Schizosaccharomyces pombe: one gene and its partners. The protein of the gene in region 1 purifies or fractionates together with the protein of each later gene. This does not show direct contact. Each region holds a gene or a part of one and is shown on either strand. Other genes may lie near its edges.

Evidence for each region.
Region 2: the proteins of taf5 (region 1) and tbp1 purify together in Schizosaccharomyces pombe (affinity purification with western blotting, with the first as the bait; 2 studies listed by BioGRID). This does not show direct contact.
Region 3: the proteins of taf5 (region 1) and taf7 purify together in Schizosaccharomyces pombe (affinity purification with western blotting, with the first as the bait; 2 studies listed by BioGRID). This does not show direct contact.
Region 4: the proteins of taf5 (region 1) and taf1 purify together in Schizosaccharomyces pombe (affinity purification with western blotting, with the first as the bait; 2 studies listed by BioGRID). This does not show direct contact.

Annotation. Positions count from the first base shown.
Region 1 is NC_003421.2:637,591-645,603, forward strand, and holds taf5 (transcription initiation factor TFIID subunit 5), read right to left. Parts: upstream 4,946-8,013; 5' UTR 4,855-4,945; coding exon 4,548-4,854; exon of another isoform or gene 4,335-4,547; coding exon 3,241-4,334; intron 3,185-3,240; coding exon 3,016-3,184; intron 2,967-3,015; coding exon 2,702-2,966; intron 2,652-2,701; coding exon 2,555-2,651; 3' UTR 2,493-2,554; downstream 1-2,492. Other genes in the region: CCR4-Not complex subunit Ccr4, read right to left, coding at 1-1,943; cut1 (separase/separin), read left to right, coding at 6,222-8,013. UniProt on the Schizosaccharomyces pombe protein: Functions as a component of both the DNA-binding general transcription initiation factor complex TFIID and the transcription coactivator SAGA complex.
Region 2 is NC_003424.3:4,412,193-4,419,485, reverse strand, and holds tbp1 (TATA-binding protein (TBP)), read right to left. Parts: upstream 4,008-7,293; 5' UTR 3,940-4,007; coding exon 3,737-3,939; exon of another isoform or gene 3,482-3,736; coding exon 3,421-3,481; exon of another isoform or gene 3,369-3,420; coding exon 3,108-3,368; exon of another isoform or gene 3,038-3,107; coding exon 2,867-3,037; 3' UTR 2,335-2,866; downstream 1-2,334. Other genes in the region: protein nst1, read left to right, coding at 1-532; SPOM_SPAC29E6.09 (uncharacterized protein), read right to left, coding at 997-2,016; SPOM_SPAC29E6.07 (uncharacterized protein), read right to left, coding at 4,312-4,662; SPOM_SPAC29E6.06C (cysteine--tRNA(Cys) ligase Crs1), read left to right, coding at 5,567-7,293. UniProt on the Schizosaccharomyces pombe protein: General transcription factor that functions at the core of the DNA-binding multiprotein factor TFIID.
Region 3 is NC_003424.3:2,171,910-2,178,983, reverse strand, and holds taf7 (transcription factor TFIID complex subunit Taf7), read left to right. Parts: upstream 1-5,196; 5' UTR 5,197-5,231; coding exon 5,232-5,559; exon of another isoform or gene 5,560-5,600; coding exon 5,601-6,454; 3' UTR 6,455-6,574; downstream 6,575-7,074. Other genes in the region: vta1 (Vts1 family protein), read left to right, coding at 97-291, 629-1,402; glycerol dehydrogenase Gld1, read left to right, coding at 2,624-3,976; mismatch repair ATPase msh1, read left to right, coding at 6,889-7,074. UniProt on the Schizosaccharomyces pombe protein: TAFs are components of the transcription factor IID (TFIID) complex that are essential for mediating regulation of RNA polymerase transcription. Also involved in the transport of mRNA from the nucleus to the cytoplasm.
Region 4 is NC_003424.3:836,100-842,062, reverse strand, and holds taf1 (transcription factor TFIID complex, histone acetyltransferase subunit Taf111), read right to left. Parts: upstream 3,826-5,963; 5' UTR 3,744-3,825; coding exon 3,681-3,743; exon of another isoform or gene 3,639-3,680; coding exon 3,068-3,638; exon of another isoform or gene 3,053-3,067; intron 3,020-3,052; coding exon 2,871-3,019; intron 2,833-2,870; coding exon 676-2,832; 3' UTR 501-675; downstream 1-500. Other genes in the region: RNA methyltransferase Tgs1, read left to right, coding at 10-155, 204-491; vacuolar amino acid transmembrane transporter Atg22, read right to left, coding at 4,091-5,680.

The DNA of each region.
Region 1 (8,013 bases):
TAATCTTTATCCACTCCTTTCAACAAACCGGTTACCTCCAAGCTATTGCCGGTGTACCAAATGTGATCAATGGCACCCTTAAAGCCAGGTGTATAGTTAGTGAAGGAGAGAGCTTCAGATTCACCATATGCAGATTTCAAATTAAATGCATGAGAACGTCCATTAACAGTGTATTCTCCGTAATCATTATTCATAAAATCTTCATGATTTTGGCTAATGCTACCAGATGATAAAAAGTCATAAACACCACTGCCTTGGACGGAATTAAAATCTCCACAAATTAAGATGGGGATCTTTAAATACTCGGGATAGGTAGGTCTTTCATCCTTTAACTGGTCAGAAGGAATCTTGGAAGGCATATTACGGAATTTTGTTGCAACCTGTGCAATCTCATCCATGAGCATTGCAACTTGTATAACCTTGACATCCCTAAACTGAGGATCCCAATGAATATGACAATTTGCAACGATCAATCGCGATCCATTTTCCTTATTCTCAAGAAGAGTAATCACACTAATGTTATCTTTAGTCATAACACGGTTGTACATGTTAGACGTTAGTTTAATGTCTTGCCTACGAAGAGATGGTGCTTGATTATATTCTATCACCATCTTTTCGTGCATGACATATTTAGATGTTTTGAAAAATGTAGCACAACCATCGACGATGCGACGTTCAACCTCATTCATAGTTCGTACGCGACTTTTCGGGAAGTGGACACCTTTATAACCTTTCAAACTCATTTGTGGAGCAAAAAAAGTATCATAGTTCTCAACATCAACTTCTTGCAAACAAATGATATCAGCATTATAACCACCTAATTCTTGCATGATTAAATCTTTGCGATACGACCAAGAGAGTGCCCATGAAGGAGTATAGCCATACAATGTGGATGTAGCATAACGTTCACAAAGCACATTATAACTCATAATAGTAAACTTGAGATTCTTAGATGTTGTAGAGGGCTTGTTAGAATCAGCAGCCGTTAAATCTCTAACAGAGGTTGAAACATTGTCATTAACATCATCATCATCATCGGAAACAAGTTTTTCCCATCCACGCTCAGGAGGAGGAGGGCCAACAGGGCAACCATCGCGCAAAGCAGCAATTAAACCTGCAGTACCACTTTCCATGATTTGATTCTTGTAAACGTCTTGAAGAGGATTACCTTCAATACCAAGAATTTTCAATTGGAAAAGGGTACCGAGTTCGGCAGGTATTACACTAATCATATTATCAAACAATAGGACTTCTCTAAGCTCAGTAAGTAAACCAAGCTCTGGTGGAATAGTTTTAATGCTGTTTCCAGAGGCATCCAAAATAACCAAATTCTTCAGTTTGCCAATTTCAGGTGGTAATCGGGTAAGATTATTATGGTTTATGTATAATTCAGTCAAAAAAGAGAATTTAAATAAATCAGTGCTCACATTTCTCAAACCAATACCACCAAGGTCCAAACAAGTCCAATCCCGTCTCTCTTTCTTAGAGTCAGATTTCGACTTTTGGTCATCAACCGCAACAGAAGAAGTGGTTGTTTTTGACGTACTGTTTAAGGTAGTACCACTGGAAGTGTTTAATGTTGTTGAGGTCGTCAATGTTGTAGTAGTGGAGCTAGTATTGTACTTTCCCCCTAACGAGGATAAGCCAGCAGCATTAGGGCCTCCGGTAAAAGCTCCAGTCCGAGCATTGTAATTCATCGAAAACCCAGGTCCTCCACTTCGTGCTAAAGCCGCAGCATTATGAGCTCGTTGGTGTGGTGAACTGAAGGACCTGGACTGAGTTGCAAGTGCAATTTGCTGTTTCCAATGTTCAGAAATATTACTATTTTCTAAAGCTGGCGAATTCTGTACAGATAATATTGCTGCATGTTGATGGTCTGGCGTCAACAGCCCCGGGTGCGCTCCTGGATAAATTGTACCTTGCGTATACCTAGGATTAAACATAGACGGTATCTCGCAAAATATCAAAGTCGAGATGAATTCTAATTTACAACATTCACTATATATACAATAAAAGTGAGGTTGTTGGTGAACGGCAAGAGTCGAACCCCGTGATAGCTTATAGGTGGGATACGAAAGCTCACCACCAAGATTTGAGACGAAAACTCAGTGTCCTGTTAATCGTTTTTTAGGTATATAATTGCATATGAATGCTTTCAATTAATTCATATTATTAATTTTTTTTCTAAATAATATAATTTAGGGTCCAAACATGAAATTATTTTAGCTTATGTTTAGCGCTGTTATGGTCTATGTAAATATTGGAGCTACTGAAAAATTTAATATATAATGTATCATCAGAAGTCCTTTATGAAGTTTATAATATTAAAAGCTTTTCCGGAACATCAAATATGAATTATTCAGCCTAATTTCGATTCCGATACATGGATGTCTCAAAGTTGTTAAAAGGCAGTTAGTTGTTGACTCATTATCGTAAAGTAAGATAATGTTTAATATTTAAATTAAATTTTTTATAATCTTTTTTTATATAATGCCAAATTTCTTAAAGTATGGACGGGAAGAAACATATTGAAGATCAAAAAAGGTTTATTTATCTAACTAACGCTTATTGCTAAGCAAAGGTTACGACGCGTAAAGGAGACATTAAATATAGGGGTTTGCTTCGTATAAAGAGCTACCATTTGATCCGGACTGTTTGAGAAGGTTAGTAAATATATCGATTCCATTACATTTTCTCATACCTTGTAGACCAATTGACTTCATTAAATGTGGATGTTTTAGCAGAGAAAGGTGTAACAACACTTCCCGTTAGAGAAGAAGAAACAGGATTGTTGTAATTAGTTTTGAAAACGTCCCAAGCTCTCACAGTACAATCTGACCCTCCGCTAACGAGGACCGTGGATTCGCGAGAAAATGACAAAGAGTATATGTTGCCTCTGTGACCTCGCATTGTCTTTATACGCCTTCCTGTTCCTATGTCCCAAAGGTGAATTAGACCTTCACTGTCTTTAATCAAATTAGTAAAATCATTAGTAATAACAAATGTATAACATACCAGCACTTGCCATAGTATGACCATCTGGGGCAATCGCAACAGCAGTTACCGGTTGGGTATGTCCATTAAAAACACGAACAGAATGTCCTCTATGTACATCCCAAAGCCTGCATGTTTTATCGCTTGATCCAGTTAGCACATAAGCGGAGTTTGGATGAAAGGTAACGCACTAAATACAAGTCAGTCATAAGGAAACACATTTCTTAAAAAAGATAATAATCATACGTCTACATCACTTAAATGCCCAGCAAAAACTCTAAGTGGGTATATATGATCACAGCTCCAAAGTTGTGCAGTCTGGTCATGAGAAGCAGTAGCGAAGTAATGACCAAACGGACCAAAGGCAACATCCCAAACCGGGCCAGTATGTCCCTTGTAAGCTACCAAAGCAGTTTTTGTGTCAACAGACCACAGCCGGGCGCTAGCATCTTCGGAACAAGATAGTAAATATTTATTATCGGGAGAAAATGTGGTGCCGTAAACAGGACCAGAATGACTCAGTAAACGTACTGAGCCATCTGAATCCTCTACAGAAGTTGACTTAGGTAATGATTTTTTGTCAGCCTTTATTGACCATAGCCGTATATAACTTTCTTGAAAACCACAGGCGATCATTGTGGAGTCAGGAGAAAATTCAGCACAGTTCATGTTGTTATTGGTGTGATGGAATGTGTACATACAAACACTAGGAAGGGAGGCTCTAGGTCCAAGATGTAATCTTTTACTCCAATCTTTCACAGCCTCAACTTCTGAAAGAATATCAACACCTTTATGAGGAGGAAGAGGGATATAATCTCTAGACGGAGCATCTTCAGCATTAGGTTCATGCAGCTTTCTAAATTCTTTTAATAGTTTTGGAGATTGGTTATTTGGATCGTTTTGGTGCATCATATCCTCTTCTTCTAAGTCCATCTCTACAATTTTTTCCATTTCTTTGTCCATTGGCATTTGTTGCAGCTTTACAGGTTGAAGTTGAGCATCTCCTCGTTCAAAGGATTGGCCGGTAATACCTTCTTGTTCATTGATAACTTTAGCATTTTCCAAGACGGTGGGACGTCCGGGAACGATATGGATATCTATATGCTGATTGATTAATTTAATGATAATTGACCCACCGTTTGAAACGTTTTCAAATAAGAAATGAAGCAATAAATCAAATGTTATCCTAGAAAAATGGAGTTGATATTTATTTTGCCGGTATTGTTGAGCAGTGCGGTCTTCTGCGACATGGCTTGGAAGACTCAGCGATTTTAAGTTTTTTACATCAAAGTCATGAAGATCAGTATGATCGTCTTTGAAGAGTTCGTAAAATTGCTTTGCTATAGCACGTTAGTAAAATTATCATTTATCCTTATAAAGAATTAAATATGGGTGGTCAAGTGGAATGAGTTTCAGAAATAAAGACAAGTTGTAAACTCAATAGATAAAGAAACTAATAAGTATTTAGAATAGTTCAAATACCCCTCTTGTTCGTAGATCATCGAAACAAACATGTAACAAATTCGTAACCTCCTCCAATATGACCAACTTACCAGCTTCATAATGATCTTGAGACAAGAGATTAAGATATGAGTGAACAAATATAGGAAATAATATCCTGTGAAGTTCAGCTTTGTACAATTCTAACGAACTATCCACCCAGTCTCGTAAGATCGTATACGTGTGTGTGTATGCATCTGGAGTTTCCTCAATGCTTTTTAACTTCTCCTCTACTGACACGCCAGAACCCGATGCTTCCAAACGAAGCATCGCCTCGGTCCTTGAGTATCCCTTCTTCGCAAGGTAATCCAGAACAATTCTGTTCAGATCCTGCGGTTGCGGCCCATTAGTGGCAGACATGGTTAAATTCTCCAATACTCTAGCTTGAAGAAATTAATTAGAATCCAAATATAAATCTACAAATGACCGTGATTCATATAATTACCTGCGCAGAGCTCAAAGCAACTTGCTAGGAAGTAGCATATGTCGAGTTCGTGTCTATTAACATACCATTGTGTACCACGCTAAATTGGGAATTTGCAGGATTTATGAATAACTGAAATTTGGAAAGGTTCCACAGTGTCTGTGAGCGTTTTGATGTCGAAATCCTATCTAAATTACTATTTCTTTTGTCCTACTCAAAAATGAACTGTCTATGAAATTGTTTTAATGTCAACACAGGATTGCGAGGCAATGAACGCTAGAAAAAAAAAATAAATAAATAAAAGTTTTGCATAGTAAAACTTTTTCAATTAGATACTTTTTAAAATTCTTTTTTGATTTTCAATTCGGTTTTAAAAACTTTCACTTACTTTTTTTTTAGAAGTTTCATCCCAATTTCGGGATGTTTATAATTTTTTAATTAAATTATAGTAGGGCCCCTTATTAAAATAAAACTAAATGTTGGGTTGAAATTTAAATAGGGAAAATGTAGAAGTTTTTTTTAAAAAATTCAAAAAATTGGGAAATTTCATATTTCCTTCAAAATCATTAGTTTATAACAAAAATTGATGTAGCATTGATAAAATGAGTTTATCAGAAATTATATGTTTTTTTTCCTGTTACAGATTTGTATGGTTTTGAGTCTTAATCGGTTTATTTATTTATTGATATATTTATTTACATTATTGAAATTTACAAATAGTAGGTTGCGATGAAGTAATGGACTGTAGATAATAACTGTAAACTATCAATTATTTACATTCATTTTTAATTATATTTAATTTTCTTCTTTACAGTTTTCTTTCTTTTGGACCAGTTTTAGGGATTTGGTGGTAAGTACTGTGTTTTCATTTGCCTTAACATCCAAAGCATCCTTGCTACCAACTAGCCTATCTTCATCCAGCGAGACGACTTGACAGTTTTTTCGTTTTAGACGAAATAAAAACCAACAGCTCCAAATTTCGACTATTGCAATGTTCTAATTAATGCTGATAATATTCTATTGGTTGGGAAGATCGATTAATCTACTTTTCATAAGCATATAATAAAACATCTACATGATTTTTAAGTCACTAATATTTTCCTCTTCTCAATAATTAGTAATATAACTTTGCGAACTGAAAATCACTGTCAAATTATTAAATCTTATATTTTGGTCGATATTTGCTATTGGCTTAGTTATTTCTTGCAACCTATTCTTCATGAACGGCGTTAAATAATTTAAATCCCTTTTATTGTTGTAACTGTTGCTGGTTAATATTTTTTACTATTCATTCGTTTCCATTATGTCTACAAGGTCAATCGTTACTAGTAAAGTTTCTTGGACTCCAGAGAAGTTCATTTCAGCTCTCAGTTATCCTGAGCATTGCTCTATTACTCTCGTTAAGCGACTCAAGGCTTCTGTAAAATTAAAGGACCTCAAGCAAAATATATCTCGTGATGCACCTTCGTGGACGTTCGAGCATTTGTTTGTGGCTTTCAAATGTGCAGTCAGTAACTTAGCTAAGCAATGGGCGGAGCTATCCACTACAGATAAGGAGAAAACTAGAAGGATGTTTTGTACACCTTCTAGATTAAATACGGCTCACCGTCCCGAGGTTTTCTACCTGTTAGAATGCTGTACATATATTCTCGAACAAATGCAGGTGGTAACCAAAAATACAAGTCATTTGTATGATTGCATCCGTAGCGGGGTTTCAATTTGTAATCGGCTCCTGGACATGGAGATTTTTGAACCAGCTATCAGTCTTTTGATGAAAACTCATAAAAACCTTATAATTTTACTGACATATCGGGACCACGATGCCATCCCTACTGCTACCCTTCTTAATCCCACTTTAGATGTTTCAGAAATCCAATTAGAAAGCTGCCTTTTTGTTCCTATGGTTCCTGCCTCTTATTTCTTAAATATAGGCACTATCGTTGTCACATTTCAGCTCAATGTATTACGATGTTTATCTTTAAGTCAAATTAACGGTTTGTCTTTGAATACAATCAATAACTTACAAAGCGAAGATGGCCCTTTTCAATGGATTGAAAGAAGCTTTCCTTCCCAGGTTCAATTGGCCAATTCGAGAAGAGAAATTTTAGCTCGTTTGTTGACAAGATTTTCCATGATACAAAATAACGCCTTACAATCGTTCAAACTTTTAATCCTCTCTATAGCTTTATGGTTGAATATTCTTTCTTCCCAGAGAGCTGACGATAAAGAGTTTGATGTAAATCAGCTTGAAACGAGAATCCTCCAACTTTTCTCAAAAGTTGTCCAATTATGTAAAAGCGAAGATATTGAAGGATCTATTTTAAATAAAGATATGACACAACTTCATCATCTTCTGGAAAATTTATCAAAAGAATCGAGGTTGCATATTTTGCTTCAACTTTCTCAACTTTATTATAAATATAATGATTTCCAATTAAGCGCTGCATATGTCATTAGAGGCTATTCTTTGTCATTTGAAGACATCAGTTTTAAATTAAAATTTTTATTATTTTCTTTTCGATTATCAATTCACGATAATAGCATTTGTTTTCCGTTCAATTTAATCCAAGAGTTGTCGTCACTTCAGCAGCTCTTTGTCGAAAATGCTTTACCATATTCAGAAGCTCTACATTTATTGGATTCAATAGAGCGATCATTTCGACTTTTCAATGACTCGACGGTTTTTGATGATACTGTATTTGCTTTGAACATATCAGAAATTTTATCGTGGATACTCTCATCGGTTGTGAGGGATATCCTTGTCGAGGATGAGCTTTTAAATCTCCAACTTAAAATAAGAAAGTTTTTGATGTTTACATTTCATATAATTAGGTCATTTAGTGAGTTGACTAAATTTCAAAGTTCTCTGGAAGGCTGTTTAAATCTCGCAGCCTACTATGAAGATGCTGAATTTCCTCAAAAGCTTTCCAATCATCTTTACAACTTGTGTGTAAAATCTTCTAATGTTAATTATGCACGTGAATGCATAAGTTTGAGTATCAAAATTGCTGTATCACATAAATTGACTAATGATGAAACATATCTCCTGAAAATTTTAAAAAATTTTCAACTTCGGTACCACGATTCTTTACAGT
Region 2 (7,293 bases), on another chromosome or scaffold:
ACCAGCTTTGCTTAATTCATTTTCAAGTCCACAATTAAGTCCTCTAGTAAATAGAGTTTTGAACGAGCCGTCTAGTTCCCCTTTATCGTCCTCAAGTTTGAAATCCCCGTTATCCAAGGAAGGCGTCTTAAATCAACAAGGACATGAGCAGTATAACTTCTCACTGTCACCATCTATCCGAAATAAGCTATCTCCTATTTGTCGTCCTAGTCAAGGGAGTTCTCCTAAGCTGAAGAATAATTTGTCCAACACAGAGGAAAGGATGGGTAGTCGTGCACTATTAGATGACAAAACAGATTCTGTTATCACAGCTTCTAATTCAACCACTTCTGGTCTGTCACGAGATGAATCTAGTAATCCTAATAATTATGAGTTGTTAAACGCGTTTAATCAAAACACCTGGAAAATATCTCGGTCGACTTCCAATAAAAGTCTTATTCCCGAAAGTCCATGGGGCGTTGCGCTGGGCGCATTTACTCCTAATGCATCTACCCAATCTATTCCTTGGGGAAATCGTACTTGGACAGATTAAAAAGTACCTTCAAAGAAGGCAATTTATCTAGTTCTGTTAAGATTTGTGTACATAAATATTTTAATTATTTCGTTTGTTTTATTTTAATTTTAATAACTGCAAATTGTAGCCTGCTGTTTACTTACTTCAATTTATCTAACTCACAGATTTTGGCTTACGCCATGAGTTGAAGTAATCAATTCAGACTTAGTACTAAAAAAATAAATAGCAAATTGTATCATCAAGTGATTAATTTGCTAAAATCACAATTGATCTTATTTTAAATTATTAAGTCAGTAAATTAGTAATGACCTTATGGTCTACGATAAACTCGAAAAAATTAGGTAATCTAAATCAAATGCAAATCTAAATTTCCGGAAAGACTTAAAATGAAATAATCAAATAAATTAAAATCATAATTAGTAAACATAACGGTATGAAGACGACAAACTCAAGAAAGCAGTTTCAAGAGAAATACCAATGTGCTACGAAAAGGTTTCAAAAAGAGGTGGAAGCATTTCTGGTTGAAAATGAGCATCCACGTCTATAGGGGACGGTTTTATACCTAATGCATCTAATGGAGTAAATTTCTCGATACATGAATCACCGTCAAATCCAGAGATATTAAAATTATAAGTAAACAAAGGGGTATTAGATTCTTTAATATGTGGAGTAGCGTAATCTATCTTCGGGGTCTCGAGATTCATTGGATTCTCTATAAGACCAAGTTCAGTATCATTGTTATTGATGTCTCCTTCATGTGATGAAGCGCCATTCCAAGTAAAAGGACCTTCAGCTGAAGGTTCGGGAGGCTGTAAAATACCCCACAGGTAAGAATTCCGCTCAGCAGTGTCTATAGCAGTGATATTTGGCTTTAACTCTACGGGACATGGTAAAGTTGTAGAAACATAAACGGTACCATTCGAAGAATTTTTTAAAGATAATAAACTTTGCTTGCTCGAGGAAGTATCAGATATATAACTCCTTAATTGGCGCTCCACATAATTAGCAATAACGTAAGGTTCATAAGGTAGATTAATTGGAAGAAGTGAGTGAAAAGATTCGCCAATATTTATCAACTTTAGCGTTAACTGATGCAAAGCAAGACCCTGATTCTCCTCTAGAAGGACAGAAGATATAAAATCTACTAATTTAGTGTTTACATAAGTGACATCTGAAACCGGGGATGTTGATGCATTTTCGAAATCTCCAGGTGATGTTAAGATATCACCATCGTCCTGCTTCAGTGGGATAAAGGAATACTCGACTTGTTGCTTCGATTTCTCATTTTGAATTTCTAAAGCAGATAGTAATGTCTCCACATTATCATCCTTTTTAAATACTTTTAATTTTTTTTCTGTGGGAATTGGTTTTGCTGATGTTTCATCCTTAAAATCATAATCTTCATAAACTCTTTTATTCGCCTGGCTGTCCGATGTTAAATTCGACAATTGCTCTTCAAACTCAGTCCCTTTAAATATCACTTCAGGAAGTTCAGACAACATTTGGTTTTTTTTTATATGTAAAAAGCGATTATATTGCAAATCGCGACTTAGTTAGATGTTGGCTGCTTCTGCTTGCTATACAAACTCATTTTATTACTCTTTTTTTAGGTGCCACAGGCTCGTCGTTATTCGATTACCGTATTAGTGTTCATGTTTACGCATTTCCTTCTATTAGCGCTATTAAGAACTTAAAGTATTTTACAGGAACAGCAGATACTCAGTTCCTTTAAACTCCATAGTATCATAATCGTCTAATTTTCGAATGGAATCAATACTTTTTAAGAACTGTCGATATACGCTCTTCAGACTAAAACCAAATTATTTCAATTTTTAAAAGATTATTATTATTATTACACGATCATGAAAAAATGAATTATACAAAGCTATACAGAACATTGTACCGATTTGGCCACCAGTCCTGAAGCTAGAAGATTTAATGAAGCAATGCTCAACTAATGTTTAATGATAAACACAGAGGAAAACAAGTAGTATCGCGAAGACACTTGCACGCACTTTTAAGAGCACACATTCATCAACTGCAGGTTTTCAAATAAGATACGCAATTTCAGCCTCTATAGTTTTCTTGAATAAAGCTGTGTTGCGCCGTAAAAGAAGAAACTCACAGATCAGTTTCTGATTTTGAAGAAAAAACTTTTCAAAGGATGTCTCTATCATCTGCATCATATAAAAATACTCATAAATGATGACTTACAGTGAAGGGGATTCTCCGGAAAGCTTTTTAAGGGTTTAATGTTAAAGATCAAAAAATAACCTGACCCCGACTAAGGTCTTTTACCCAACAATACCCATGAACATTGACACAAAACTGTGTGATAACTGTTGACATGCCTTAATGTTTTCGAAATTCAGACAATACTGGATAAATGGCTTCAAAAGCTTGGTAAATTTCCTCACGGACTTTCGCACCAGTTAAAACAATTTTACCAGAAACAAAAATCAATAGAACAACTTTTGGTTTTACCATGCGATAAATCAAACCGGGAAACAACTCAGGCTCATACTAAAAAAGAACAGTTAGATACTTATTCGTCTTTTAACAGCAACAACATCTTTAAAGATGATGAACTTACAGATGAGAAAGTACCGTGGGAGTAAGCCAAACCTTCCAAACGAATTGGAAATTTAACATCGCAACTTCCTACAATGTTCTGAATCTTAAAATCCGTGAACTTGGCATTAAAACCGAGTTTTTGGATGATACGCGCATACTTTCTAGACGCGAGCTTGGAGTCATCCTCGGATTTGCCACCCAAAACAACCATTTTACCAGACGCGAAAATCAATGCAGTAGACTTGGGTTCACGGATACGCATAATAACAGCGGCAAAACGCTATGTTTGGTCAATAACAGACCTCAAACAAAATTAAAAGGGTTTAACGTACTTTTGGGTTGTATTCTGCATTACGTGCATGTAGCGCAATAGTTTTGAGATCAAGACGACAGCTATTTTAAGAGGATTATTAGTAATAAGGTCTAATTTGCTAACTCAATGGAAAATTTTGTTAACGAGACGTATCATCCCCTGCGGTCATTGCCTTCGGAAATCTCGTGACATGGTAGTTAAATATAAACAAAACAAAAATCAAATAACCATTAACAATCGCTCTTACCCAAACGCCATGTCTATACAAAAGATTTCCGATGAACTCACCGCGACGGCAATACGCCTTGTTCCCTATCCAAAGAGGCACGACTTACTCTAAGTTTACAGTAGCAACAATATTTTGAAGGGTTGGAACAATGCCAGATACACCTTCATTTTTTGAAACTTCTGCATCCCCGGAATCTGCCGTCTCATTTGTAGCCTCGTTATTGGCATTGGGGAGAACAGGGAACGTTAAAGAAGAGTTATTCATAAAGGCACTCGCTTGCGAGGCCGTGGTGGGTAAAGCGAAATCCATTGCAGTAAATCAATTATTATTTTACGCTACTCGTAGAATTGCGTTATCCCACCCCTAATGGAAAGCCTGCAGGTGACGGCTGCTGCACTTATTTATATATACCCGATCTTTCAGGGTTAGGGTTTCTGAGTGTTGTGAAACCGCGGCGATGGCTGAATAGTAAAGAAATGCGCGATTTTTTATTTATAAAATACGTTTTTACAACTTTCTTATTAGCTTCTATGTATAAATTTCTCGTTTACAAAAAAAAGTCCTTCAAACGCAATACGAACGAGATATAGACGAAAATGAGTATAGGAAGTGCAAAATAAAGTACCGCATTTAGTCTAGAAAAGCTGAATCAAGCTTTGGTATAAAATTTGAACAAAGGCACTAGCTATCTAACCAAGTAGTTGGTTGCTGGCGATGTAAATTTTTTGTGTGCGCAGGTGGAAGGATGGTACGGAGTGAGAGCTGCGTCATATGCCCTTTCAGCAGTCTCGACGCTAACGCTTCACTGTATTTTGTTATATGGATTAACGCTGTTGGTCGTGTCGTAGTTTTTATAAACAAAGGAGAGGTGTTTATTCTCACGTGTAGTAAATAAAAAAAATATACTATAAACAAACATTGAGGGGAAAATAATCTAAGTTCAAAAAAGAAACTGAAGCATTTTCTTTTATTTTTTAAAGTCTTAACATCCTGAAAATCTGTAATTAGCGTTTCACGAATATAGTATTCCATCGCTACTTGTTATTTTATCATTCAATTAATAAAATGTGAAATTGCAGAAAGAAAATATAAATCGATCTGAGTTTTTTTTTTTTTTTTTTTTTTTTTTTTTAATTAAAGAAAACAAAAACAAATCATTAATCCCTCAAGTCTTTATAAGGGTTTTCTTAAACTATAAAAGAAGTATTTGTTTTAAACGGTATCCAAGAGACGATAAACCATTGTTAGTCTTTTGAGATAAATGTCATTCTTTGTTATAATAACCTCCTGATGCATATTAATAAATTGTTCTAAAATATGATTTCAAAGTTTCTTTGTTAGTAATTTAAAGTATCCTTTACAGAAAGAAATAAGATAACATGATATTTACTTTTTGAAATGTAAAATTCAAATTTTTATCTAATATCAATAACTTGACAATGTCATTCAATTAAATGGCTTTAATGCAAAAACTATAGAAGATCTGTAATGAAGGCAGAAACATATGAGGACACCAGAGTTGTTTAAATATTTTCGATTCAACAAAACTAAGATTAATACGGATAAGACATTTTCAAAGCATATCAATTGGTATGCTGAGATGGAAACCAACAACTTATTTGCAATAATATCGTCAAAAAAAAAAAAAAAAAAAGATGAAATAAATCTATTGGCTACTTTACTAGTTTAATATGAGGAAAAATATAATTAGGTATTGAAATTTTGTTTTTATTTTTTGTTTGCAAAATGTTTTTGCTTGCTTAGTTCAAGTACTAACAATAACCTGTAAAATTGCGCATCAAATACTCCGTTATCTTAATTCAGGTTATCCTGCCAAATTTTTACCCAACTCAACGACAAAATAATCAAAATCACGATTTTTAAACTCGTGGCTCGTTGTTTCAATAGTTCTAGTCGCTTTTTTAATAAAAATCTAATGTCGACTAGAAATCCCGCTCAATCGCATTGGGGTGTTCCTAAAGGACAAAGAACGGAGCTCTATGTATACAACACCTTAACTCATAGCAAGGTGCCTTTTGTTTCAAATGGTTCCAACTTAACATGGTACTGCTGTGGACCTACGGTATATGATGCTAGTCATATGGGGCATGCTCGTAATTATGTGACAACTGATATCCTTCGAAGAATCTTACAATCTTATTTTGGATATAACATTACATTTGTACAAAACGTTACTGATATAGATGACAAAATTATCCTTAGAGCTCGTCAACAATATTTATTTGAAGAATATAAAAAGCAGCAAGGTACTAACAAATCCCATTCAGAAGCTCGTGAAAAGGTTACTGAGGCTTGGTTTGCATATGCCAAGAAAAATCTTCCTGAACCTCCCTCCTCGATGAGTGAATGGCCTCAATGGCTCGCATCCCATGATATTCCCACTTTAGCTATCAACAATCCCAAGTTACCCATGCATGTGGATGCTTTAAAGTCTGCTTTGGACGCTCTTCAGGTGAGTGAAGCTTCTGAAATCATTTCTTTGGATGGGTTTTGGCCCAAGGTACAAGATGTTTTGGTCCCATTGCTTGATGCAGAATTGGGTAGCACCGTGACTGATCCTGCAATCTTTCGTAAACTTGCAGCTTATTGGGAAGATGACTTCAACAAGGACATGGCTAATCTGAATGTCTTGCCACCTACTGCTGTTACGCGAGTTTCGGAATATGTTCCTGAAATCGTAGATTTTGTTCAGCGCATTATCGATCGCGGTTATGCTTATCCAGTTACAGACGGTAGCGTTTACTTCGACACAGAGGCTTTCGAAAAAGGTGGTCATTTTTATGCTAAATTGGAGCCCTGGAATAAAGGAAATCGAGAGTTAATTGCTGAGGGCGAGGGTTCCTTGGCTGCTCTCACCGGTAAAAAGCGTCCGGGAGACTTTGCGCTTTGGAAGGCCAGTAAACCTGGTGAACCCTCTTGGGATAGTCCTTGGTCCAAAGGACGTCCTGGTTGGCATATCGAATGTTCTGTCATGGCTAGCGCTCTACTTGGTTCCAATATTGATATTCACTCTGGTGGAATTGATTTGGCATTCCCTCATCACGATAATGAGTTGGCACAAAGTGAGGCCTATTTTGACTGTCCCCAATGGGTGAATTATTTCTTTCATGCAGGTCATTTGCATATTGAAGGCCAGAAAATGTCTAAATCTCTTAAAAATTTTATCACTATTAAAGAAATTTTAAAGAAGTTTACACCTAGACAATTACGCTTGGCATTCTTACTTCAACAATGGAACACTCAACTCGATTTTAAGGAGACCCTTTTGGCATATGTCTTAAACATTGAACAAGCCTTAGAGAATTTCTTCCGGACTGTTAGAGCTCTCATGAATGAAACTGAAGGTGTAAGCGCTAATGGGGGTCACGTACCTGAAAAATTTGATAAGCTAGAAATTGAGTTACTTGAAAAATTCCAACAAACTCAGCAAAATACCCATCTTGCTCTTTGTGATAGTTTTAATACTCCTTTGGTCATGCAACACATTGATAATTTGGTTACTCAAGCCAACATTTATATTCGTGAAGTTGGTCAACAACCTTGCTCACGTTTACTTGGACAAATTGCATCATGGATCACTTCGATGCTCCAAATTTTTGGCCTCGATGAAAACGGCCACCCCAACGCTGTTGGATGGTCATC
Region 3 (7,074 bases), on another chromosome or scaffold:
GTTGGCGAGGGTTTTTTCTCTTTTTTTTTTTTTTTGGATTACGAGACCAACTATGTAAATGTTTCTGTGGTACTAACCGCTCTATGGCGTGTGTAGTTACGTAAAAATTTGGGCGAGAATGAGAATGTGAGTGACGAGACTAGTGCAAAGGCGTATGTTGAATCGTTTTCCCTAGAAGTTCTTGTCCAGGCCGAAAGAAATAGCAAAAACGGGAAACCAGATGTGCAAGCGTATTTGGCAGCCCGAGATTTTCTAGAGTTGTCGAGAATCTGGGGACCACCTACGGAACAGGTACGTGAGTCAAAAACAGCGAGAGCAAGTGAGACGGAATGAAAAAGAGTAACGAGCAGAACTTAGGAGAAAAAAAAAAGAAAACCACGATCAACAAAAATGAAAAAATGAAGGTTCTTTGGAAATTTTTTTATTTTTTATTTTTGTTTTGTCAAAAACAAAATCGTCTTTTCCAATTCACATTACCATGTGTTTTTTTTTTCGACTCGTTTCTTCTTTTGCCATTCTGAGGATTTCCTTCCTATCGGTATTTTTCTCTCTCGTTTGTATTATACAACGATGCTTTATGATGCTTATAACGATTTTTTGTTCCCTACTAACCCCTATTGCTACGTAGATTACCAAGTCAATCAAATTTTGCAAGTTACGTGCGCTCCAAGTCGCAAATCCCCAACGAAAGGCCAAAACACCCTCAAACCACGCGACCGAGGAGTTACAGCAATCTTCCACAAATTCCACAACCCTACCTACGCAAGAAGCCGCCGTTGAAACGAATGCCTCTGCTTCTCATGAAACATCTTTTGCTCTCCCCACTACATCTCCAGCAGCATCGCTCTCCATCTCTCCTACAAAGTCTGCAGCCGTATCTTCCGAGCCTAATGTAGAAGCAGACGTAAAATCGTTGTCTTCAACACCGGCTGCTCCACAACTAAATTCACCTTCCCATTCATATGAGCCTACCACGTTCCCCTCAACTACATCAATAACCGAAAATTTGCCAACAATAGATCCTACTCGTTCCACTCGCTCTTCCTCGCATATCCAAAGTTTATCTCCTGAGTCAAAGCAAACATCAGATGGGCATCGGCCTCCCTCCCCTACGTCAATCACCACCACCTCCACCTCCATCGATCCGTCAGTAGCATTTTCCAGCAAGTCAACTTTAGCCACAACAAGAACAAATGCCCCTCTATCAAGGCCATCTCAACCGACTAAAGCCTCCCCCTTGAACAAGTTTTCCGCCTTGGAGGCTATCCAATCTGCTCGAAGTCATGCACGCTATGCATACAGTGCATTAGACTACGAAGACACAACGACAGCCATTCATCATCTAAAGTCGGCACTAAAACTTTTGGAGGAAGAGGAGCAGGGAAATCATACTGCAGACTAGAGGAAGAATGCTGGGGCTGGAATGGAGGGGATCTCAATGAGACAATGGGAAAAGGTGGGGCAGATACCAGTAAAATTATCTATCCATCTTGGGGAGAAACAATCTAATTGTACCACTCTCCCCACTATTCGTCTCTCTTAATGTTTGTTTATTTGTTTGTTTTTTTTTTATCCACTTTTTTTTCTTCAAATGCTTTCTAATTGTAGCAGGACCCCGCCTTTCTCTCCACTCTTCCCATTTTCCCTCGCCGTTGAGTGGCACTGCTCATCCCTGTCTCCTCATTTTTTGTCGCGTCATTTTAGCGAGCGTTTATTAAGGAACTGGCGAATGACTGCTGTTGTATATATTTCCCCAGATTTTCAGCAAGTAAGCTTTTGTCTTGTACTGCATACCACGTTGTCTTTCTTGCCCCTATGACGCAGTTATGAGACCAACGAGTCATGGGTTTATCCTGCCTCATCTTTTGTTACGTTATTTTCCTGTCTGCTTGGGTTTGGCTTCCGCAGTGGGGAACTGGCAATTGCGGTGGATATGTGTGGTGTCATCGCCCTCTCATCAAGTTTATATGTAGAGGGGCAGCGCTGAATTCTTTGCTCTTGGTTATTGCTTTCGCAGTTTTCCATATTTCCCCCATCCATCCATCCATCCATCCACCTCTTCTCTTCTCTTCTTTTTTTAACAGAATTGCTTTTTCCATTGTAAAATAAAACCATAGCAAGTTTTCACTACCACTTGGGTTTTTTTTTCTTTTCTTTAATTATTTTTTTAATCAACTTTCGTTGCTTTAATTTTTAAATATTTTTTCTCTTTTCATTCTTCCTACTCTTCCCGTTTACCGTCGATCGGCTGATTCTAGTTTTGACAATCACCATTGACTACGTCGATCCCTTTTTTTTTGGCCAGCCGAGATCATATATCCCGTTCATTCTTGGAACTTTCGTGATCTTTCGACTGTCTATTGATTCCGCAAACAAGTATATATATACACATATAGTTGTTTTTTCTTTTTGGACCTCTGTTCCATTGCGTTTCTCTCCTTCTTAGTTACTTGTGCTTCTTTACCTATTTCCTTTTTCTTTTTAAATAAGGATTCTTCTGTATCGAAATAAATTTCAAGAAAGGTAAGAACCGTTCCACACGCCTATTCTTGTATTTCTCTTTTCTTCGATTTGATTCGATTTCTATTCGTAACGCTTAGCTAGTCTTTGAACTTCCTTCATAATGATTGGTCCTCGTCTTTGCGCTGCAACCCCTCGCTTCCCTCTCGTTTCCCTCGCCCACAGGAACTCTAAAGTATTTGCGCTCGCCTCTTCCAATGCCGTTGCACAACGTTGGGGCAAACGCTTTTATGCTCCTATTGAAACGGAGACGCCTCACAAAGTTGGTGTAGAGTTTGAAGAATCCAAAGATCGCATTTTCACCTCTCCTCAAAAGTATGTTCAGGGTCGTCATGCCTTCACTAGATCCTATATGTATGTCAAAAAATGGGCCACTAAATCAGCTGTCGTGCTTGCCGACCAGAACGTATGGAACATTTGTGCCAATAAAATTGTCGATTCTCTTTCTCAAAACGGAATGACTGTCACCAAACTGGTCTTTGGCGGCGAGGCAAGCTTGGTGGAACTGGATAAACTTCGCAAACAGTGCCCTGATGATACTCAAGTCATCATTGGAGTTGGTGGTGGTAAAACCATGGATTCCGCAAAGTATATTGCTCATTCCATGAATCTTCCATCCATCATTTGTCCTACTACTGCCTCCTCTGATGCCGCTACTTCCTCTCTTTCCGTCATTTACACTCCTGACGGTCAATTCCAAAAATACAGCTTTTACCCCCTTAATCCCAACCTCATTTTCATCGATACCGATGTGATTGTTCGCGCTCCCGTCCGCTTCCTTATTAGTGGCATTGGTGATGCTTTGTCCACCTGGGTGGAAACTGAATCCGTTATTCGCTCAAATTCCACTTCCTTTGCCGGAGGTGTGGCCTCCATTGCTGGCCGTTACATTGCCCGTGCTTGCAAAGACACTCTTGAAAAGTATGCCCTGAGCGCTATTCTTTCCAACACTCGCGGTGTTTGTACCGAGGCATTTGAGAACGTGGTCGAGGCCAACACATTGATGTCTGGTCTAGGCTTTGAAAACGGTGGTCTTGCTGCTGCTCATGCCATCCATAACGGTATGACCGCCATCCACGGTCCCGTTCATCGTTTAATGCATGGTGAAAAGGTTGCTTACGGTACCTTAGTTCAAGTTGTTTTGGAGGATTGGCCGTTGGAAGACTTCAATAATCTTGCTTCTTTTATGGCAAAATGTCATCTTCCCATTACCCTTGAGGAACTTGGTATTCCCAACGTAACCGATGAAGAGTTATTGATGGTAGGTAGAGCTACTTTGCGACCTGATGAGAGTATTCACAACATGTCAAAGAAGTTCAATCCATCTCAAATTGCTGACGCTATTAAAGCCGTTGACTCCTATTCACAAAAATGGCAAGAACAAACTGGATGGACCGAGCGTTTTAGATTACCCCCTTCTCGTCATAGTCCTCACTTGACCGACATTCATCCATAGGCATTATTTTTATCCCCAGCTTCAATTTTCCCTAGTAAATCCAAAAGAAGAAAAGAAATTTTTAAGCGGGTTTTCTTCATTGATCATTAATGTCCTGAGTGTTTTTTTTTCTATAGTAGTCTTTTATTTCGTGTGCTTCCTTTCCTCTTGGAACTTTTTTTACCTTTTTTCTTTCTTCCTTTTTTTTATTTTTTTAAAAAAGTTGTAAGCTTTTCCCGTTAATCTAGTGATTTAATGATCAACCTTTTCGGCCTACTCCAAAGTTTTTTACGCCCCTTATAACTTCATGAATAATTTGCTTTATTTTTGTTACGAATGAAAAAAATTGTTCCCCTTTTCAAATGAATGTTTTATCGTTGTTAGTTGTATTGTATTAAAGTTGTTCACCGTAATTGATCTATTTGTTACAATGCACATCATCTGTGTTGCTTCCTTTTTTTTTTTTTTTTTTTGCAATCGCTTTTTATTGTGATAGATTTCAAAAGTTTTAAATGTAATTACAATTAATAATGTTCCTATGTTAGAAAACTTTAAATAACTAAAGTGATTTGTTTTCACGTATTATACAATTGTCGCTAGTGGCCTTGTCAAACATTCGTTGTTATTATATTATATGCTAACTCAATATGATTAGTATGCTACAAATGGTATAATAAGTGAGTAAATCCCGGATTCCTAGCTACATTGAAAACCCTTTTTACCTTAACCTTTGCATCGATCAACAATTTCGCGCTTTATTTACATTGTTTACTGTGGGATAAATAAGTAGTGTTGTCAACAATACATTACTCAAGGATACACTACGTTGAGTATCACTATATGACACATGTCCTAATCATTCATCGTTGTATGAAACAGTATTGAGATTGACCTTAATAATAATCTATTAATATTTTTATTATCTGAATACTATAAATAGGGCTACTGCCGAACCTTGTTCCTCAGTTCAGTAGTTTAGCTATGTCGGTGATCGATACTAATGGACTTCTTATAGTAACAAATATACATTGTTAGTTAAACATACCACATACCGCTATACTGTAGGTCGCAAGAGAAACTCACCGCAGTTCTATGAATCGTTAAATAGATACCAAACTGCGTAGCTGACAGGTGTTTGCAGATAACGATTGTATTAAAAAAATGTTGTAAATCACTATGGCTCGTTAGTAGTAGATAACGAGACTCACTTGAAGGTTTAGCGACTTGCTAATCGAGCGTTTGCCAACGACAATTACTCAAAAGGCGGTTTTCGAAAATGGTTAAGCTAAAAATTCGTGCTGTTCAGCCTCCTCCAAATGATTCACGATCTAGCACTCCAGCCACTGGTCCTCCTCCCCCAATTCCTAAAATTAAGATCAAGACACGTGAACCTAAAGGCCCTCGATTGACAAAAATTCGGTTAAAAAGAGTTCGCGAACCTGGCTTAGGATATGATTCAGAAGCTTCTGACAGAGAAGAAGACACTTATATTGAAGAACAAATTATATTACGTCTTCCTCCTGGTGAAGATTGTGAGTATGTTCGAAAAGCAATTGAAAATAGGGAAGTGGGACGAGGTGCAGACATATGGGTGAAGTTCAAAGGTAATGACTTGGTTACACTATATTATTATTAACAGAGTTAGATCAAAGAAGAGCGGTTGTTCATGTTAATGGTCATTTGTACGCTGCGAAGTTAGTTGATTTGCCATGCATCATAGAATCTAATAAATCATTCGACAAAAAAGTTATCTTCAAGGCTGCTGACATCTGTCAAATGTTGATAGCTACAGAAAGAATCGAGCACGAAAATTCTGTTCTCAATACTCAGTTAAAGCAAGCTGATTACATTTATCCACATGGATTGACGACGCCAATGCATTGGGTGCGGCAGAAGCGATTTCGAAAACGTGTTTCGAACAGAACAATCGAAGCAGTTGAAAATGAGGTTGACCGATTGCTTGCAATGGATGAACGCGCTGAAAGTACATCGAATGAGTTGATTGATCAAGCACAATTGGCTCGTGACTCAAGCATCGCTCTTTCAGAGGATACATCGTTTGATGGAATGGCAGGACTTCGTGGTACCAGCATCGATCGGGACGACCAAAGCGTGCAAACTGATATGTTTGATGGTATGGATGAGGACGATTTGGCTGGACAGATTGAACAGGGTATGCTTGAGCTTAGTCAAGATACTCGGGAGTCAACAGCAGAACCTCGTGCCGCAGGTGAAGAATCTGCTAGTGAAGAAGAAGAAGAGGAGGAAGAAGAAGAAGAAGAGGAAAATGAAGCTGACGATGAGACTCGCGAAAATAAACGACAAAATAGACTTGTTCGTGAGTTTATTTCAGAGTTGGAGTCTTCTATTCAAAAACGTAGAAAGGATGCCGATGAAGCAACTAATCCCATTCTACGAAATCGTTTCCTTGCAGACGTTAATCGTATGGTGACCGAGTTAGAGTTAAAACGTACTCAACTTGTCGATAACCCTGAATAAATGTGTTGCGTAGTTACATCTTTTTACATTTTTTTTTAAAGAAAAAAGCATTTATTTCTATACGTTTTACCTTTTGCATATCAGCTACAATAATAATGAACATCGGTTATGGTTTGGATATATATACATATATTTATATTTTATATAGTAGATTGTAAATTGCATATTAAGTATTTTAGACACTGATAGCCAGAATTAGTTTTGTTAATGAAGTGTACCGAACTTTATTACAACAATCATTTTTCTGCATAAGCAATTCTATTTAAACGTATACATATATTTATTAATATACATTTATATGCTCATAAATAAATTTATATACTTGAAGATTACTATTTCTTCAACTTGACAATGATGCATTCATTGTCGCTTATAGTAACATAAACTTTTGCTAACTCTACAAAAAAACCCTTCCATTCGGTAACCTGAAAATTATGCCGACATGGAGGTATATTTTTTCATTAAGAAGTAAATCTTCTTTCACTAAAACCTGGGTACCGTTTACTCAAATTCGAAATTCTAGTAAATCCCCCAAAGTCGGCCAAAAGCCAATTTTACAAGGCGCGTTAGGACCTCCGTTAGATTTTATTAGACCGAAGGAAAAAGTAACTCTACCTCCT
Region 4 (5,963 bases), on another chromosome or scaffold:
TTGTTTCAGTAATCTCAATTGAGATCGATCCTATCAAAATCGCTATGGCAAAGCATAATTTGGAAATTTATGGCATTCCTTCATCTCGAGTCACTTTCATTCAAGGAGACGTTCTTGACACTTTTAAATCTTTGCAGTTTGCTAAAGATTACAGGGTATAGATAATCTTATATATTAATTCTGTGTTTAACAATATTTTCTAGTCTCTTGTTTTTATGAGTCCTCCTTGGGGTGGACCTAGTTACTCAGGAAAAACAGTATATTCATTAAATGACCTAAACCCATATGCTTTTGATGTTCTATTTAAAGAAGCAACTAGGATATCCCCTTATGTTGCTGCATTTTTGCCAAGAAACACTGATGTAAAGGAACTTGCAGCATATGGGAGTATTCATAACAAGCCTTATATTACCAATTTTTTATTTGAAGGATATGCCAAGGCAATTTGCTGCTATTTTAATATGAAGGGTGCTATTGCGCGAAAAATTTGAAAGTTTCAACTCATTTTCACGTGAAGTTCGTCAACTATATATTTGATTTCATAAACATAAATTGATTATTAACATTTTCTACAATGAATATCGTTATAATTAGATTCATCACCAATAAACAAAAAAGGAGCGATCGACGCCCATCATGAGATGTCAAATATTCTTTATAACACTCAGTATTATTTTAGTTTTTGTCGAGCATAGTAGCCAAACCTCCTTCAGGTCTACCAAATAAGGGACATATTTTGTTGGTCTTCATGTGGCCCACTTGACCACAGTTACTACATTTGCGAGTAGTGGGTTTTCGTCCTTCTCCGTTCAAGTTGATTCCTTCTTTGGCAGCATGTCGAGCTCTTCGTCGCTCCCAATTCTTCTGACTCTTGGCAAGTTCTTGTTCAAGACGCCTTCGGTTGCGTCTATCAATTGCTTCGTCTCCAGTTGGTACGACGGCATCAAGAGCAGTTGATTGTTCGTCAATCTCACGCCTCTTCTTCAGATAGGCATGGATGACTATCGGGTCATGAATGGTTTCCTGTTTACGTTCCAAATTTCCATTTTTGTCACGATAAAGTCGAACAATTCGTAAAACTTTATCAGAAGATGGAGTTTCTTCTCTCGTAGTCTCCTCATTAGATTCAACGTAATCATCATGTATAGAATTGATGCCATATTTTTTAGCCAATTCTTCCAGATTATTTATACTTAAACCTCTTTTCTGAGCATTCCAAATCCTATTTATTTCTTCTTCATAAGCCCTTTGTTGCTTTGCAACATTATAGGCGTGAGCATTCTTAGTTTGCGGTTCTGGCTTATCGTCGGCGGTTTCGCCAGCGGGTTTGAAACCACCCTTCATGCTCGTACGAATAAAACTATAACCTTCGCCAATTCCTGTAGGGTCACCCTCACCAAACAGTGTAAGCATGGCCTTCCCTTGGGTAGCATTTATAAAGTTTCTCGTAGTAATCCAAGGCGCTAACAGTTGCTCTGCTGGTTGTTCTTCATCTTCATCATCATTGATCTCATCCATTGTTTTCCCATACCCAGCATCTTCAAGCTGCCGCACACCCACTTGCATACTCTCTAGTAAGCACACTGTTTCAGGTGAAACCATTGACCGTGTACCTGCTTCATCGGGGACAACTTCATTCGATTTTAATTTCCAGTAACCTGGACCATCACCTTTCTTTTTGTATTCCATAAATTCTTTAAGACGCTGTCTAATTTGCATCTCATTCTGATCGGAGAAGTGCTTTGATAATTGTCGAATGAACAATCCTCCATTTGGTGAACGCCTAATAAGCCGGAAAACAAGCATTTTTAATCGATTTTTACTTGCTGTGGTCACTTTACGGGAATGGGGCCCAGGCACGTCAGTAACAGGAAAAGTTTGACCACTCACGAACATATGATTAATGTTTTTTAAGTAATATTTTGAGCCATAGCTACTAGAATTCCGTATTAGAATGAAGTCAGTAGGTGGTACCTCATGCTTAAATAACGGAGCTCTAATCATTTTATTATACAAAGTGGGAGTAATTTCTCCAGGTTCAACAGATCCAAAATTCCAAAAAGGGCTCCGATCCTGAACATCTAAAACGTGGCTTTCACCAACTTCGAGCTTGGGACGTGATTCATCCTGTTCATTTTTCTTTCGATAATAATTAACGATCCTGCTGGCCATACCTGCATTGGACAGCACTGCAGGATGTTCTTCTGAGAACTCAACGAGTATTGCATGTGTGGTATCACCCATTGTTATCTCCTTAGTAGTAGGAATTAATTCTCGTTCAGACTTATGTTTATCTTTACTTCTTTTCCTTACTATTAAAGGTGAAAAGACAATAGCTGCATTAGGTTTGAACGACATGGTTGGTCGATGGTAACTTCGAACAGCACGCTTACTAAGTCTTGTTTTATAGTAAGGAAATGTGAGCTTTTCGGCAAAGGCAGCATGCTCAATTGCTAACTGGGACAAGGTATTACGAACTTTTGACTGATGATTTTGTTTTAACATCTCATAGGCAGGATCGTTGGATATATTAAACTTCCAAGCCAGGGAATTCCTTTGATGGGTGTCTGCAAAAGATCTTTGGGAATCCTCTTTCTTCGGCAATTGAGGTTGTAACAAAAGTTTGGGGTCATTTAAATTTAATACTACTTTCGAGGTACCAGTGTCTCCGTCAAAAATGTTTTCATCAAATGCAAAATCAATATCAACTAGTGATTTGTCAATAAAAAATGATGATTGATTAGTTTTGTTAACATCACTCTCATCGTAAATAATATTTTTTTCCCAATCATTAGTAGTAAAAACGGTGTTGAGATCCAAGCCGTCATTCCTCTTTCGGTTAGTGAAAGCTATTCTAAATCAAACCATACCTGTGATGTATTAGCTGTTCTTCTTCGCTTTTTTGTATGCGTAGATATTGGAGACACAACATTTCGCTTTAATGGTAAAGACTTCTTGCTATTGAATATTATTGCGTAATCTGTATCGACTTCTAACGTTAAACGACCAGGTACGCAAACTTAACATGTCAGATCAGTAAAAAAATACAACAATAATCAATTCATACCTTTTGGGGTCTTTTTCTTTGGAGGAGCAAGCTTAACAGGTTTCGGCTTAAAAAGTTCTGAAAAGTTCAACAAAACACCACGTTCAAAGGTCGGAAAAAAAGTTTTGACAATGCTCTCCCTAATTTGAGCTTCGTTTTGTAATTCTTCTGTAGTAGAAGAAACAGTTTTCGAAGGTTCGGAAGGTGGAACTAATCCCGATGGAATTGAAAAGCCTACTCCGCTGAGGACCTGACCAGCAGCCTCTTCACCCATTTCTTTAGCTAAAAGCTTTCCAAAATCTTCATCATCCTTATCCCCGGTGTAATTTACAGCTTGTTCTTCCTCTGGTAGATTATCATCACTTACATCTTCCATATCATCCATTTCATTTATGTTATTACCAAATTCCTTATGAATTGAACCCATAAAGTCAAAATCTTCATAATTTGGTCCATCCTGAGGGTTGGAATTTTCAAAACTAGAATCTAAAATTTTTGGGGACTCATTCATCCCTGGATTGTTTGTATCTCCTAAAAGAGAATTTATTACAGACATGTCTGTACCATTTTGCTTAAATAAATCTGTCAGGTCCTACATTCGTTAGTTTAAGATTATAGATTTCAAAATACCTACATTTCCATCATTGTATCCAGATTTCGTATTTTCATTTTCAACTATAAGACCATCAAAAGACATAATATATTTCAAAATTTATGTATGGCCTCACTAAGCCGTTATATATGATATTAATCGACTTGTGGCGAAATGGGTGTTGGCTAAGGGATACTTTTCGTCTGCCGATGAATATAGACTCAGGTAACATTAGCTTACTGATGAATCTTGGGTGACAGAATTAAATTCATATAATAATATATATCTATTAACTATTAAATCCTCGATAATTTCGTTTATTAATTGGAAAGACTCATGAAAATAATTAGGCTTGGCGCTCACTGTACATTAATCAATAGTTTAATGTCTCGAAAAAATAAAGAACCGCAGACTTGTTTAATTAAATCAATAAATAAATGCTAGTGGGTGAGTTAAGAGGAGGACCTATGCAAGTTGGGGGTTTTGCTGTGTTGATACATTATCCATAAAGAAGACAAAGGTAAAGTCATAACAACAATTACAAAAATGTAGACGGCACGTAAATCAGATGTGTAGTTCGAAATAAGTGTTAAAGAAATATGGCTAAATAACACACCGGTTTGTGATATCAAAGCGTAGAGGGCAAAGAATCTAGTTTCTTTTCCAGATGGCACTAGTTGAGCGTATACGGACCTACAATAACTATGCGCACCTCCTAAGAAAAAGCCAAAGAATAAAGTAGCCCGGAAAACGTCAGCTGATGTTCGTATTCCAGCATTTTCAAATCCAGGAATGTAACCCAAAAGGCCATATAAAGGAGCCATCGGCAAGAGGATGGAAATAATCATTACTACTTGTAACGAGTTCAGTTGAAAATACTCAGTAAGATAGGGTATAATTACGGTGCCTAACAATGCGAAAGAAGATATTCCCATTCCTAGCAAAGTCAGCTGAAAGTTAGAGAGATTCAACCTTGCTTTTCCAAAAATAACGGCAGAAGAAAGAGAAGTTTGAATTCCACAATTAATGAAGAGTCGTGAAAATAGGAATAGCCTAATCGAAGAAATACTCATTGCATGCTTGAATGAATGATACGACTCTTTCACACTATTATAAAGTAGTGTCAGGATAGCATCACTTGAGTGATTTTCCACAGGTAGTGTAACAATGGTACAAAGGGGGGTTGAAAGTATAAGCCACCAACATGAACACACTGTAACAGTTATTGGCAAGATTATTGGATTGTTATTAGTTTTGTACAAAATGGGAGTAAAAATAATCTGAAAGAGAATAGCAGCGCCGAAGAAGCTACCGAAGCCAACGCTTGATAATCGAGCAGCGATTTTAGCCTTGTGTTCATCTTCCACATCTGCAGGAGGAGCGGATTCATTAAGTATTAGGCTGTGTTCAAGCAAATAGGGCTCTTCTTCACTAGAATCAATGGTGGTATTTGTTATGTAGCTATCTAGGTCATCTGTTTCATCCTGAAGAGCGGATTCCAATGTTATAGGTCCTCTCGTGATAGGGTAGAATCTCAAAAAAATAGGGAGAAAGCTGTCATAGCAGGATTGAGATATAATAAAGTTCAAGTCGACCAGAATCAAAAACACTATTTTTCCCAAAAGAAAACTCGAGGGACTCCACGAAAGTATAATACCACTAATAGAACCTATGATAACGCATGAAAACAAGATGTATCTTCTGTTATTTCCATAATCGCAAATAACACCCAAGCTAACCATCATAGCCATCTGTAAAAAAGTTGAAATAGCTGATGCAGCGAATACAATAGAACTAACATCAATCCATAGCGGACCAACTATATTCAAAGAGCAAGGTTCTTCTGGATATAAAGAACAAGGAATTGTGTGATCTGTTCTTAAAAAACCATGATCATGGGCATTTTTCATAACAATTAAAGGAACATACACCCCCATACTTATAATTGCAGTAGGACCTGCCCCAACTGCATAAAGAATCCAGCTCAGAACATGCCAAACTGTAGTGGAAAACTTCTTGTGAAGTTGTATTGGAGAATTCATATTGATAGCTCAATCGTCAAAAACTATGGAAATACAAATTACTGAAGATAATATGAAAACATAAATTTTGAAAGGGAATGAGAAAAGAAAAGTAAACTGTTGTAGTTATCTTAAAATTGTGGTTGGTGTAGCGGATTTATTAGCTACGCAATAGGGACATAACTGCTCGGGGGGAGACCAAACAATGCATGGACAAAACAAACAAAATAGATACAATCATGGCTGCTTCTAAAAAATTTTTAAGCGATCAACTAAATAATTATTGTATCATTTAATAATAGCT